Lepisosteus oculatus: one gene and its partner. The protein of the gene in region 2 interacts with the protein of the main gene of each other region in a biochemical or structural test. Links are inferred from orthologs where the notes say so. Each region holds a gene or a part of one and is shown on either strand. Other genes may lie near its edges.

Evidence for each region.
Region 1: the proteins of hltf (region 2) and ube2v2 form a complex in vitro, tested with the Homo sapiens proteins (2 studies listed by BioGRID). The link is inferred for Lepisosteus oculatus from reciprocal best matches to the Homo sapiens genes HLTF and UBE2V2.

The regions. Positions count from the first base shown.
Region 1 is NC_090701.1:47,139,597-47,146,720, forward strand, and holds the start of ube2v2 (ubiquitin-conjugating enzyme E2 variant 2), read left to right. Parts: upstream 1-4,069; 5' UTR 4,070-4,161; coding exon 4,162-4,177; intron 4,178-7,124. UniProt on the Homo sapiens protein: Has no ubiquitin ligase activity on its own. The UBE2V2/UBE2N heterodimer catalyzes the synthesis of non-canonical poly-ubiquitin chains that are linked through 'Lys-63'. This type of poly-ubiquitination does not lead to protein degradation by the proteasome.
Region 2 is NC_090708.1:14,814,846-14,822,793, forward strand, and holds the start of hltf (helicase-like transcription factor), read left to right. Parts: upstream 1-4,898; 5' UTR 4,899-5,227; coding exon 5,228-5,328; intron 5,329-7,948. Other genes in the region: bdh1 (D-beta-hydroxybutyrate dehydrogenase, mitochondrial), read right to left, coding at 312-453, 847-957, 3,995-4,207. UniProt on the Homo sapiens protein: Has both helicase and E3 ubiquitin ligase activities. Possesses intrinsic ATP-dependent nucleosome-remodeling activity; This activity may be required for transcriptional activation or repression of specific target promoters.

The DNA of each region.
Region 1 (7,124 bases), on a different chromosome or scaffold from region 2:
TTTCAGTGAAATGTATACATTCTAATGTACATAAAATGCAGCTCGAATTGAAGGTAAAAAAAATCCACCTCCTTCGAGCCGGATTCGAACCAGCGACCTAAGGATGGCCGGGAATCACCGCTACAGTCCTCCGCTCTACCAACTGAGCTATCGAAGGGGCAGAACACACGCCGTCCCCGCACAGGAAGTAATTGCGCGCTTCCGGTCTGCAAGGCTCCATTGAGAGGGCAGACTACCGCCACAACCACGTCTTTAATAAATTACGTACAAGGAGAATGTGTTTAGTCAAGGTATTTCCTTAAGCACCTATTACTTATCCAGCAGTCTGACTATACAGCCCTGTCTAATACCGGACATTGATCCAATTTATGTGAAATTCTTTCTAGACAAGGATTTTTTTACTGGTACGGTTCGCCTTCTCCGGAACGTGTTTTTTGTTTACATTACATTAACAGGAATATGATTACCCTAGCAAATGATTGTCAATAAAACGCCGTTAAGGCAAAAGAAGCCTCTCCCAATCCCAGGCACCAAACATGAAGTTGTGATGACTGAATCCCTTAAATTAGTACGTTCCAGTAACAGGTTTTATGTCGTCTTCTCAATCGGGAATACAGTTTTAATTTAAAAAACACACATACAGGAGGGTTATAACACAGGCTTTCGTTCCTCTATCCCTCTCTCCGACATCTTGATGAGTTCCTAGAGAGCTCCACACTTCAAACACAAACGAAAGCGCAGCACACAAACATCCCGACTGCACGTTTGTGAGTGAAGGAGTCTTTCCCGAGCTGCGCATTCGGGGACATTTCGTTTTGCCCTTGCCGAAAAACAAGAAAATGGTTACTAATTCAAACACTCGGGGAACTGCCTTCCTTTTACTCCATGTGCCCTGAGCACATTTCTATCCATAAGCAAAAGCTTGGAGAATGCGGGCATCGATCCCGCTACCTCTCGCATGCTAAGCGAGCGCTCTACCATTTGAGCTAATTCCCCTACGCGGCTCTTAGATTTTACTATGCGTCTAATGCAGTTTTTAATCCCCCATTTTATCATTAAAAACGTACAACCATTTATATACAAAGTTGCATACTTAAACTTATTTAAACTTTTGAGAGGATTTAAACCGTAGCACTTGGTTACCAGAGCCCATTTGCTTTGCAGAAGTCATCTCAGGTCTTACAATTCAGATGACATAGATAAGATATAAAATCAGAAAGATACAGGAGCACATTGTCAGGACACAGCGACATACAGGCTGCTGTGTTAATACATTATATACTAGGATTATTTCTTATGCTAATTGCCAGAGACTGTAGAGCAATATCAAACAGCAGGGGCGATAAAGGGACAATCTTGCCTTGTGACCCATTGCAACGACGAACGATCAGACGTGTTATCATGATCTAAAATTGTGGGTTCTGGACAGGCGTATATTTCAACCCCCAATTCAAAATGTCCTTGTTTCAACTTCATCAGAAGGTTTTTAACTTATTCGTTAAGGGTGGTGCTATATTCATATTTGAACTTGAGGGCTTGATTAAAGTCGGAAAGTCTACAAGCTGGAAGTGTTTCAATATCGGAGAGCCGCTTTACACAGACTTCATGGGGAATACTGGTAATCCCTGCTGGTTAAATTTAGGGCAAAATAGCTACTGTATTGCTAACTTTGTATAAATGAAAAGCCGAATTTTAAGTCGGTTCAGACAGTTCTGTCTTACAGTATAGTGAATCTGCAAAACGTAATATTATTTGCCCTAATTCATAGAGTCTGCTTTTTCTCTTAAAACACTGTAACCCTGAAATGGGCTCTTTATAAAGACATAGTATGAAATACCCCTAATTTAATTAACCACATTTTACAAATGAAACAAATTCTACATTACAAGACAAGCAATGTTAAAAAAGAGTGTAAACATTTACCAATATTCCTTTCTACGTAAAAAAAAAGTATTAAAGTCACATTTAAACCTCATCCTCTGTACTCATTTACCCCCTTCCTTTAAAAAAAAGTTAGGCAATAGTTCTTTGTAACAAGGTTTGGGCTAGAAAGTTTTCACAGGCTGGAAGGCTTGAGTCAGTTTCAAAGACAATGATTGTTTTGGACTGGTCAGACAACAAGAAAAGAAAGGTGCTATGTGTTATGACCAGACCGAGGACAATTGAAACTGGACACAGGCAGACCTGGCTTCCCAGAGAGGACAGGCTCAACGACTGTAGCCGTGATGTAGAAACTGGACACAGGCAGACCTGGCTGTCCAGAAATGATCGGCTCAGTGACCACAGCCTGGCTGTAGAAACTGGGAGGCAATGACAGACCTGACTGTGCAGAGAGGACAGGGTCAGTGACTGTAGCCTTGACACAGAAACTGGACACAGGCAGACCTGGCTGCCCAGAAAGGACAGGCTGAGCTCCTGCTGGCAGCAGGGAAAACCCAAGACAGAGGTACACTTTCTGCTGCACTGGGAGAAATACTCTGGGATTAGATAAACACTCTTCTGATCCTACTGGGTGTGGAAACTCGGTAGAGCTGCAACCCAAGTATGTTGTGTCCTGTCAAAGCCTGAGGAACTGATAGTGAGCTTGTCTCATAACAATGTTTTATATGATATACAGTATGCAATGTCAATAATATGCTTATTAAAGTCTGTAATATCTGTAAATGTTGTGTTAATTGTAATGGATTGGTCATGCCAATAAAGTTCTTTAAATGTGAAAGGCCTGAGAAAGGAGTAGAGCATCTGTTGACGGACATGTGGCAAAACAGGAAGAGACTGCAGTTCCCCCTCAACCCTGTTTTTATAGGAGAGGAAAGGATGAGCCTTGTAAAAGAAAAAAGGAAAAGATCATGAGAAAGCCCAGCACCAGAGGTAGACATTCCACAAAATGTTCATGTTAAAATAATACTTTGACACTTAAATGATGGAACCCTTCAAATCAAGTTTTTGATATTCCCGAATGTGTTTATGTTACACCTTCATGGCCGTCGGCTTAAAACCAATAAGTCTTTTTAAGAAATAAACATTTCAGAAACTTCAACCAAAACACATGGGGAAAAAAAGTTTGGATCCTTCTCTCCACAACAGGTTTGATGTATCTCCCCAAAACCACCCACGTGCTCCCAGACCAGCACAGACAGTTATATTACAACTATGCCATTACCCTTCAACCAAAGCTTGTAGTGTGTGTGTGTGTGTGTGTGTGTGTGTGTGTGTGTGTGTGTGTGTGTGTGTGTCTGGTAGTTCGACCTAGTGAGTGGGGGTTAATTATGGAGTTCACCAGGTGTCAAGGTACACTGTCCCTTCCCTTCCCTTGTCCCTTTGTCCTTTGTGCTTCATCTGTCCCCCTGCACCACCTTTGGTCCAGACTCTCCAGCAACCCTAATGTGTCACCTCTGTGTGGTGATTGATGAACATCTAGGCGACAGCGTGTCATTGAAACATTGTTGATTGTCACCAGCCAGCCTTGCACTGGAAAGGCTTGGAGACCTTGATGAAAGGAGAAAAGCAGACCCAAAGAGAAACCCCCCCCCCCCCACACACACAAAGAATCCATTATATGCATAAGGTATATAGCCCCTATGCATTTGTCCCACAACTCCTTTTGTCACGCTGTAACACATGAAAAGCAGATAATGAAATCACATATGAAACAACAGAAGTGCCTTTAAACTGCTCAGTGAGCACAATACTGTTTTCTTTTGCAACAACTCAAAAAACTAGGGAGGGGGTTACATGGTAACAAGAAGTGTTTTCCGTTTGATTGATTTACCGTTTGATTCATTTACATCTTATAAACGCAATAACTTCGATTCAAAATACTTTATTCATGTAAAAATGGGGGCAATTTAATATAACATGGAAGAAGAGAACGGAAATTAAAAAAGTGAACTAAAAGCTACGGTAGTAATAAAGGATTCCAGTCATGATTCGAGTAGGTTTCCGTTTTTGATGTAGATGTATTTGTAAAACAAGTAAATCTTTCAGTCGCTGGGCACATTCATACTCCCTCGATGAATGACCCCCCCACCACACACCCAAACCAACAAGCGCCGAGAGGTCACGTGAGCGGCGGCGGCAGCGGCTCGGTGCAGTGGTGACGCGCGCGCCAGGTGACTGTGATGTCACGGATTTGTGTGGTTCTGGATTCGGCTGGACAAGATGGCGGCCTCCACAGGTTTGTGTGAGAATCTGGGCTATTTTAGAGACAAAAAAATGCGATTATTCCGACTCGCGGGGTGGGCGCGCAGACGCGAGCAGGTCGGGGGGGAAACGCGTAATTTGACTTAAGCGGGAAGAGGGACGAAGTCGAGCGAGAGGGGAAAGAGTTGCGTTACTGCGGGTTTTCTGCTTGTCGAACAAGAGAGGACGGGAGGTCTGTCGATGCACAGTCACTCATCATGCTGTGAATGTTGATCAGAACTGGAGGGGGGGATCGGTATTGGGGAAGGTTGCAGGCCCGATTGGCGTAGCAATGCAGGGAAGAGGACTGAGCAAAACCTATTTAATTCGTGTTTTGCAGGGTATTTCCTTCAGACTCTCCACGCGTGCATGCCCGTGTGTGCTCCGCTGCGGGCTCTTGTGTTTTGTTCAGGAAGTAGCGTTTCCTCGGGCCTGACGCTGAAACGTATATTGCCGAATAAGTATTTTTAACGAGGGCGTGTGTCCAGATTTCCCCTAAACACGGTAACGCCAACCGTGAGAGCAGAACTGTCTTTAAATGACGAATACAGGGCGTCTTTGACGTGTGTGTTTGGGATTTCGAGTTAAAAGTGGCTATTCCCGTGGCAGGTATATTTGCTTTAGGCCTGGCCGAAATCATTCATTAAAAAAAAGAACAAGATAACATGCTACCTCTCCTGCAAAAAAAACAACACGCAGTAGGAAGAAGGACAGATGAGACGATTTTATTCTCCGCGGACAGCAAGAAACTCAGAAATGGTACAGGAAGTGTTGCGATCTGCATTCATTGTGGGTGTGCCTGGGAGTGTTAAGGTTGTTCGGTGTTCGTAGAGTTAATGTGAGCATATTTTGCCACTGACGTGCTTCGGTAAAAGATTCGATTGTTTTGCAACCTTGGAAGTGCTACAGAAATAAATCCCCTTTTAATTGGATCCGTGAGCCCGATGATACTTGGAATGCGTGCGTGAAATGGTGCATCCAATTTAAATAGTCTTATGTAATTGATTTATTAGCGGCAGGTGAGAAGGTGCACCTTAAATTCGCATGCGTTTGATTCCACTTACACTGATACGTGCAGCCCAGTGTTACATAAAAGCAATTTTACTCATACATTTCAGCGATGAATGACTGTCGAAACAAGATGTTGCCCCCCTCCCCCTTGGAGAAATCTGTTTTCGGAAACACTGCATGGATACGTAATATAGAAGTGCACTGCACAAGAGCAAAGGAAATGTTTTTATTTCGTTCTGAAAATCAATGTAGTCCCCTAAGCAAATAAACCTAATCAAAATGTCGTTAAAGTAATAGTAAACACTGCGGTGCTTTGAGCTATGCGCCTATCATGTAAAAAACGCAGCCCTTATAAAAGTCTTTCTTGTGCTCATCATGAAGAGTTAAAGTGGTATGGATATTGTATAAAGTAGTGCAAAAAAGGTTATTCTAGCCTTTAACAGTATTAAAAGCACTTTGCAGAACAGATAAACCATCCATTCCTGAGTGAATACTTGAATGAATAAAACTGTTACAACTGTCTTCACACATTCTTGCTTTTTTGGTGGTTCAGTCATCCAGCTAGAAATTTTGGTCTGTCTGGGTAAAATCCACAGACTGATGGGTGTTCTGTTCCCCGAGTTGCAGAATTGTTTCATTCCAAGGAGCGCTGTGCTCAGGTGAAATGGAAGACAGAAGTTCACAAAGCTAGATCTGTCTAGCTTTGTATCGCGTGTTAAAGATAGTTTGGTTTATGTTCGAAAGTATTGATGGCTAAGTGCATGTATTACAGAGATGCTAGCAGGTGGGTAGGTGGAGGTCATCAAGCAAAGATGCTCTGCTACATATAATTAGTAGGCGTTATTCGAATTGATCTAAGTGTTTTATCTTTGAGTTTCTTAAGTTGTTCGGACAGTAGTACCAGTGAGAGGTCTGCACTTAAGATTTGTCAAGGTCAATTAGAGAGTCTGCATTAACAAGCCAGGACTACTGCTTTCTACTTTCTAATCGTCTAAAAATAGCAATTCCTTCTATGAGATTCTCATGTTCAGGTGGAGAAGTGTTCTTTTCAAGGGGCAGTCTTTAGAGGACTTCTTTCAGTTCCCACAAACTCATAACGTGAATAGTAGAGCCCTTTTTTTTACTGCAGTACTGCATGTGAAGGCAAGATCAGGGTTTGGTCTTTTATGTTCAGATTGAGGAAAAACTTTTTTAAAATGAAAAGCAAGTGTATTGAGACACTTTGGCCACATTTCTTTGCCTTTAGCTTTGAGAATTGCAGTAAACCCCTTTATTCTTAACTTTTGCACTTCACAGGAAATGTAGGAAATGTCAAATTTGCTTAGGCTGCACACACAGAATGGTCACATTTTACAAGGTGTAAATGTATTTTCGGAGAGATGAGACGCAGGTTAAGGGAGAGAGTGACACACCTTAAGAAAACTTTTTTCAAGGCAGGGTTAGATCAAGATAGCCAAACGCAAGCTTCCAGAGGGCCACCTTGGTCCTTAGTTTCTATTATAAGTGCATTTCTGTTTCCAGTAGCTGTACAATAATTTGTCTGATGGATAGAATAATTCTGCACATAATAATAATTAATAATTGCTTACACTTATATAGCGCTTTTCTGGACACTCCACTCAAAGCGCTTTACAGGTAATGGGGATCCCCTCCACCACCACCAATGTGCAGCATCCACCTGGATGATGCGACGGCAGCCATAGTGCGTCAGAACGCTCACCACACATCAGCTATCAGTGGGGGAGGAGAGCAGAGTAATGTAGCCAATTCATAGAGGGGGGTTATTAGGAGGCCATGATTGGTAAGGGCCAATGGGAAATTTTGGCCAGGACGCCGGGGTTACACCCCTACTCTTTTCGAGAAACGCCCTGGGATTTTTAATGACCACAGAGAGTCAGGACCTCGGTTTTACGTCTCATCCGAAGGACGGG
Region 2 (7,948 bases):
CTGCTGCAGCTGCTGGTGCAGAATGGCCATACAGTACATCACCCAGGTGGGTACAGGTCTTTAGTCATAATGAATTGGTACCCCTGTTATAAATCAAATGCTTTGGGATTCAGGTGCACTGAATTAATAAATGTTTTAAAGCATGCAAACACTAAAGGAAAAACATAGAACCTCCAGGTTTACTGCTATGAGATTGGAAGAAAAATAAGTAGAGTGTTCAAGTGTACTGCAGGATGCCATTGGGGTCAACACCAGGGAGTTTTGTTCAAAGATGTCATGCTGGCTTGTGAAGAAGGATGCTGCTCTGTTACCCTTCTCTGCATCCTTCAGGTTTTCCCTGACGAACTGCAGGGCTTGATTCACCTCATCCTCGCTGCAAACATCCACCTGCACAACTTTCATCCGCTCCGAGTTCATGCTCTCCAGATCACAAGCTCCAGTGCCGCTCTTGTCCTGTCAACAGTGCCATAAAATATACCCTCCTGTCAGCTGGAAGAAACAAATCTCAAGTTTTCAGTTCTTCTGCACTGTCCTCTCCCATCTCTCAAGGAAAAGACTTCTAACAAAATTTGCATTATGTACAAACAATCTGCTTTACTTTTCTAAGATTTCTAAGTGTATTTAAGAGCTACTGATCTTTAATAAGAACTGGAGAATACAAAATGCCTATAAATAAACTTTTAAACTAAGTTCTGAATTTAAACAAAAATAATATTTTTTGAAACATTTTATCAGCTCACAGATCTTTGTTTGCATTGACAGAAAGTGGGTTGTGAAGTTTAGATTTTAGATTCCTAACTAAAACCAGTTGACTTTTCGCTGACGGAAAAGAGCTAGAAGCCGTACCTTAAGAAGGCATCCAGCAAAGACTGTGAATCCCAGAGCATGTAAATGCTTTGCCAAAGCAAATCCAAATCCACTGTCACAGCCTGTGATGAGCACAGCTTTTCCCTCAGTCTGTCATGGGGAAAAACACGTCATATAGGTTGTTCTCGATTTACACAGGAGATACACTCCTGAAAAACATTGCATAATTAACAAATGTGTAAATTAAAAATGAATTCACTCTAGTAGTGCATGTACTGTAAATGGGGGGAGGGGGGTATGTTTAGCTCCCATCCAACCAGAGAATCGATTGCTAGATAAAAACCAATCATGCAGTTTTATTCATGTAAGATGTTAATACTTATTTGTATAGACATTAAGCTTTTCTAAGAGTTGGCTGTCAATTTTATGTCAACAGTGAGGGGCAGTGAGTCTTGCCCAGCTGTCTTCAGTCCTCCTACTCTCAGTGAGCCTTTTAAAAATGGACGTGTATTTTGAAGTCTTGTAAATAACATTGCGAATATTTTCAGCCAATTAGTAATCGTAACCCATTTTATTTAACATCAAGGTTGACAATTTGGGAGGTTTTTTTAAAGACTTAAAAATAACAAGCTTGTGTTTGCATTCAGCTTTAAGATTGTTTTAATAATAATAATGTTGCTTTATTAGCCCTATACAATTTCTTGCATTAGGAATTTGTCTTTTCGCATACCCCAGCTTTTCTCCATGAGACACAGACACACAGACAGGAAGAGAAGCTTGGGGTCAGAGCGCAGGGTCAGCCAATGTATGGCGCCCCTGGAGCAGTTGGGGTTAAGGGCCTTGCTCAGGGGCCAAAGGGAGTAGGATTCCACTGCGGGCCGTGGGATTTGAACCGGCAACCTTCCAGTCACAGGCGCAGATCCTCAGCCACAGAGCCACCGCTCTGCATTTTATGCATTGTAGTAGATAGATACTTTATTGATCCCGTGAGGGAAATTGCAGTGCAACAGCAGCTTAACACAGACAACACAGTGTAACGAATGATACAATAATAATAATAATACTACAATACAATCAATACAGTGAGGAGTGCTCTAAAAGAGTTACTCAGTCCAGGTCACACAAAGAACAAACTAGAACAGAACAGTACACAGAAAAATCATATTGCACATAAGAATATAAATATAGATGTAAATATAGATATAAATATAAATGTATTGCACGGGTCCCTGGCATATATTGCACAAAAAATGGTTGTAAATGGGAAAAGAAAGAGAACAGATGTAGCAGTAGATGTGTAGATGCGTTCAGTCCAGAAACAGGTCACTGTCAATGTTGCCTCTGCCCAGACGCAAGGTGGATGAGTTGTACAGTCTTATGGCAGAAGGCAAGAATGACCTCCTGTAGCGCTCTCTGTCACACTGTGGATGAATCATTTTATTGCTGAACGTGCTCTTGTAGATTGTTATACAACATAAACATTAGGTGCAGACTAAGACATTTTCAATATGTATTTAGTAAGCTTGAGATGACAGGAAATGATGAGGGACAGCTTACAACTTGGTACACGCCGAGTGTACAGACTCAAACACTCCATCAAATCACCTGTTGCAGACTGGGACCAAGCATGTTAAAATGAGAACCAATTCATAGCCTACAGTACATTAAGAAATGTATTCAATATATTAATAAGGCCAAACTGGGCAAAGTAAAGGGTGTGTCATTTAAGACCTGCCTGTACCCATTTCTCTTTAATAGTGTTTTTGTGGAAACCAGTTATCAAAAACAATTTCTGAACGTTTTCACATTACACCAGCACTAGCATGTTGGCACATGCTTAAAAAAAACATTTCAGAATGTTTTATATAAGAAATGCATAGCCCAAAGAGAAGGCAAATCCCACATGGACATAAAAACCCATAGCAAACGTACAGGTAAAGGGCATGATTAACTGTGTGGTGTTTTGTATACTATTTTCTATTATCCATCTCACTGCTCTGCAAAACTATTAAAAAAATGTTTCACATAATACGAAAGTCATAAGTTGCTTACAACAGCAGTTTGTAATGTGGTTCTAATTGGAATATAAGCAATTAAAGCCAGTTTTAAATCCAATACCTTTTTAAAACCCTTCTCAACAACAGTATTTTAAGCAGTCTTGAACAATACTTTTTATTGAGGAACTGGTAGCTTGACACAATTTGACAATTTTTCTCATCTCATTAAGAGTTAGTGGGGTGGGTCACCAAAATGAGAATTTAATTATTTTATTGATAAAATAATAATAAATAAAAATATTTAATTGATCACCAGATCCATGACAGGCTGCAATATGCCAACCTCCCACTGAGAATCAAATAGAGGAAGAAAATGTATTAATTTTAAATTTGTGTAAATTCACATGAAACCTGAAGATGCAGTGTATTGTACTGATAATTTCACGTATAGGCGGAGAACTTGATTAGCTTTTAATATGAAATACCTTAGCACATACAAATAATACGCGTAAAACAGATGTGTACGAACAGCACTAGAATAGTTGATAATCCGTGTACGAAACGCAGACATTACATGTCCTGGTAAAAATACAAATATTGACATATGTATTCCCTCTTATACAGTATGTCAGTGCCTTTTCAACTTAATTTCAACACAACCTTCCCAGGGGCACGAAACCAAAAAAGCCAGCGCTTACAGATTTACTTTGCGAGTTATTTGTTACCTTTCAGTTGTTGTTTTTTTTTTAAGCAAAGCCGATTCTGTTATTCACCTTTGCTCTTTCGTTGTTGTGCAGAAGCAGGTCGCTAAGCAATAAGAATTCGCTCAATTACTTTATAACAAATAATCCGTGTACGAAACGCAGACATTACAAGTCCTGGAAAAAATACGAATATTGACATATGTATTCCCTCTTATACAGTACGTCAGTTACTTTATCCTGGCCAGTTCAGTAGAATCAATGAAAACGCTCAACAAAATCATTAAAAAAAGTTTAAAGATACAAAGTTGACCTTTTCCAGGTCAAGTTGCATTAACATTATTTATAAAAATAGACACCGTCAACAACCCAGTATATACTACTACATACTAATGTATACATGACTGGTGCCAAATTCACTCTTCGATGTACAATACAGTGCTGTGGCGTTGACGCCACACGAAACAATAAAACTTCAGTATTACTTACTTTCACAGAGCCCCTGGGGATGGAAGGCATTGCCACAAAAAATACGAAAATGAAATACACAAGGACTATGCAGTGGGTTACGCTGGCTTCTGCAAACCCACAGCATTTAACAATGAAATTCAATGCTTCTGGGAGCCCGAACCCTAAAATTAATGTCAAACACAAAGAAAAAAGTAGAAGGAACGCCATTTTAATAAGAGGGAAAGGAGGCATGTTTTCTGCTGCTCGTCAGACTTCGCTTGTGTTGATCTGGACCGGAACAGTGCGATTTAAAAGTAGAGAACAGCGCCTACCACACCAGAATTCCACTTCCTGCCCAGTTAAACGCCAATCGCTCAGCTTCATTTAGTTAATGTTTTGATAAAATGTAACTGAATTCTCACATACAGTAACATGCACTTAATTCAGCACTAGGAAAGCAAGCTAGGGCTGCCACGTGCTGTGCGTCCTTTATTTCTGTTCAGTCTAATTAATTACAGAGGGGACGGAATCAACTCTACTCGTGAGTGGCCAGATCATGTTTCCAGTAAAACGTCAATCATTAACCAGCTTTTATTTATTGAATTAAAGTCCTCACGTTTTTCCAACTGCGATTTCTCCAGCACACAATTTACAGCAACTACATTACGAAAAACCCACACTGCCACATCCAGTACCTCTGATAACATTATTTTGGATGAAAACCCCCTTTTAGTTCTGCTATTACTGTAGGCAGCTGTTAGAATTTAATGGCAGAGTTTTGCAAAACAAAGGTTCATAATCAAGGTGGAACAAACAGTATTGCTGATAAAGCTGTGTACAACTTCAATTCCTGTACCGCCTATTTCACAGGTAACTAAACCCACTCACCCTGGTTTCATATATTATTGACTCCGCCCAGGTTTTTTACTTGCTTGATCCCGCCTTCTGATTTTTAATTGGAGAAGGGAAGTAAATATCTGCATTTTTTTCATACGCTGCTTAGCTAAGGCAGACAAATTCTTATTTGTTGAGCTATCCTAAATCTTGTTTCTGTTTCCGGGTTTTGGGTATGTGTATAGGTTTTGAGCGTAAAACTCGTGTGGCGCATTATGCGGTATTGACATCTCAAGTCTCTCGGAAGTCAGCGTCTCCTCCATGCCTCCCCTCAAGTGATCTATAATCTGCCGGAAATCGCCCCCCGCTCCCACATTTGTCTGTTGGCGACACCCCCGGTCCGAAAGAAATCGTCAGCGAATTATTTAATTATATAATATGACCCTGAGTCATCTGAGAATCCGCTTAAATCTGCTAAACCAGTGGCATCTCTGTACAACGAAAGTTTGCAAAGAAAGCGAGATTATTCAACGGGACTGGTGAGTTATACTGTAGCATTTATAGAATAATGCATACATATTATAGTATCTATCAGCGATTTATTTAATTATATAGCTGTGATTTTGTTTTCGGAGGGGGACCCGCCCCCTCTGGTCCGAAAGTTTTCGCGGGAGGGACGACCCCCCTCGCTGAAATACATTTTTCAAAGTTGGGATGTCTGAAAAGCTATTGTAAATAGTATTTCCGTGTAATGTTTGCAATGGTGATGGACAACTGAATAATATTTTCCTTGTTCAGTAAGAAACCTGTATCGGTTTTGGAACTGGTGTTTTGCATTTCTTTCTGGGACTAGTGTTGCAGTGCAAGCTTATTCTCTGCAAGGCGTGGTGTTTTTGAAGTGTGTTGTTATTTTGAATAGCGATCAGTGTTAAAAAAAATGTTGGTTCTAAAAATAATTGGTAATTCTGGAGTGTCACGATTTCTAAAAAGATTCATATTCTGCTTGGAGCAGGGAAAGGGATTAAAATAGTTTCTGAATTTAAGAGCTGTGTATAGCTAACAAGATTATTGGAGGGTACACAGAGCAGCTTTTACAAGCTCCTCTGTAAGGAATGTGTCTAAGCGATTTAACAAGTACTAAACATTGTGCATTAGGGAAATGGAGTAATTTTCTGTAATATTATTTGCATTTATCAATTTTTTAGTGCTGTAGCTCACAATACTGATAATGTGTTCTTCAATATTATAATTAATAATTGCTTACACTTCTGGACACTCCACTCAAAGTGCTTTACAGGCAATGGGGACTCCCCTCCAGCACCACCAATGTGCAGCCCCACCTGGATGATGCAACGGCAGCCATAGTGTGCCAGTATACTCGCCACACATCAGCTTTCAGTGGGGAGGAGAGCAGAGTGGAATTATTGTTACAACACCTATGTCCAAATATAGATTAATTACTATTTAAATGAACATTTGACAGCGTTACTGCTCTTTTATGTTCCTGTGAAGTTATTTAGAAATTAATTTGTAAAGCCTTATTTCTCATCGTCATACAACATCATTGAAACATATCGTACTCTGTTATGGTATCTGTGGATGGTATCTCACAGATCTGCTTTAATGATCCCCTGCACTCTTGTGATCCAGTGGTTAAAAAGTAGGTATTGAATGGTTGAAGTGCTGCAGTACATCTTCAACCTGAGCCTGAGACTAGAAAGGGTTCCAGGGCTCTGGAAGACACCTTGCCTGGTGCCAGTACCCCAAAAGGGGCACCCTAAAGTCTTAAATGACTACAGACCAGTGGCACTGACATCACACCTGATGAAAACTCTGGAAAGGCTTGTACTAGACCAACTCAGAACCCTGGTGAGTACAGCACTTGACCCCCTGCAGTTCGCCTACCGGTCACACATGGGAGTGGAGGATGCAATCATCTTTCTGCTACACAGACCTAACTCTCACCTGGAGAAGACGGGGAGCATTGTGAGAGTTATGTTCTTTTATTTCTCCAGTGCCTTTAACACCATCCATCCCCCATTACTGAGAGAGAAGCTAAGAGCTGCGCAGGTGGACACTCCCCTGGTGTCCTGGATTATAGACTATCTGACCTGCAGGCCACAGTATGTACGGCTGCAGAGCTGTGTGTCCGAACAGATTGTTAGCAGTACTGGGGCTCCACAGGGGACTGTCCTTGCTCCATTCCTGTTTACCTTTTACACCTCTGACTTCAGGTACAACTCTGAGGCGTGTCATCTGCAGACGTTTTTGGATGACTCTGCAATTGTGGGGTGTATTAGGGGAGGGAGGAGGAATAAATGAGCTTGGTTACCAACTTTGTGGAGTGGTGTCATCTTAACCATCTCCAGCTAAACACCAGCAAGACTAAAGAAATGGTCATGGACTTTCGAAGGAATAAGTCTCTGCTGAACCCTTTTTCCATCCAGGGCGAGGACATAGAGGTGGTGCAGTCCTACAAGCAATAAGCTGGAGTGGTCTGTTAACACTGACACCCTGTCCAAGAAAGGTCAGAGCCAACTATTTTCTTAGGAGGCTCAGGTCCTTTGGTGTATGTGGAACACTGTTACGCATTTTATTTGAATCAGTGGTGGCAGCGGCCATCTTCTACGATGTTGTGTGCTGGGGCAGCAGCATCACGACAAGAGATGTAAATAGGCTCAACAAACTCATCAAGTGGATCTGTGTTGGGGCTGAGCCTTGACCCCCTGGAGGTGGTGGCTGAAAGGAGAATGCTGACCAAGCTTACAACCATCATGAACAACGCCTCTCATCCACTTCATGGGACTGTAACTGGGCAGCTGAGCACTTTTAGCAACAGACTGCTCCAGCTACGGTGCTCAAGGGAACGTTTCCGCAGGTCTTTCCTCCTGGCGGCTGTCAGGGTGTATAACGCTGCCCTAGGCTAGGACTGTTAGCCCTTCATCTGCTCGTCTATGGACAGCATGTTGCACTATTGTACTTTTTGGGCACTCAATCTGTATATACCTATGCACGTTTTGCACAAATGTTATTGTTTTACAGTGACTATGAGCATATTTTGCACACATCTAACTATGTATTTATTTTTTATTACTGTACGTATTTTAATTTTACGTCTATTCTGATGTCTGTTTTCGCTTGTCTTGGGCTGGGCTGCTG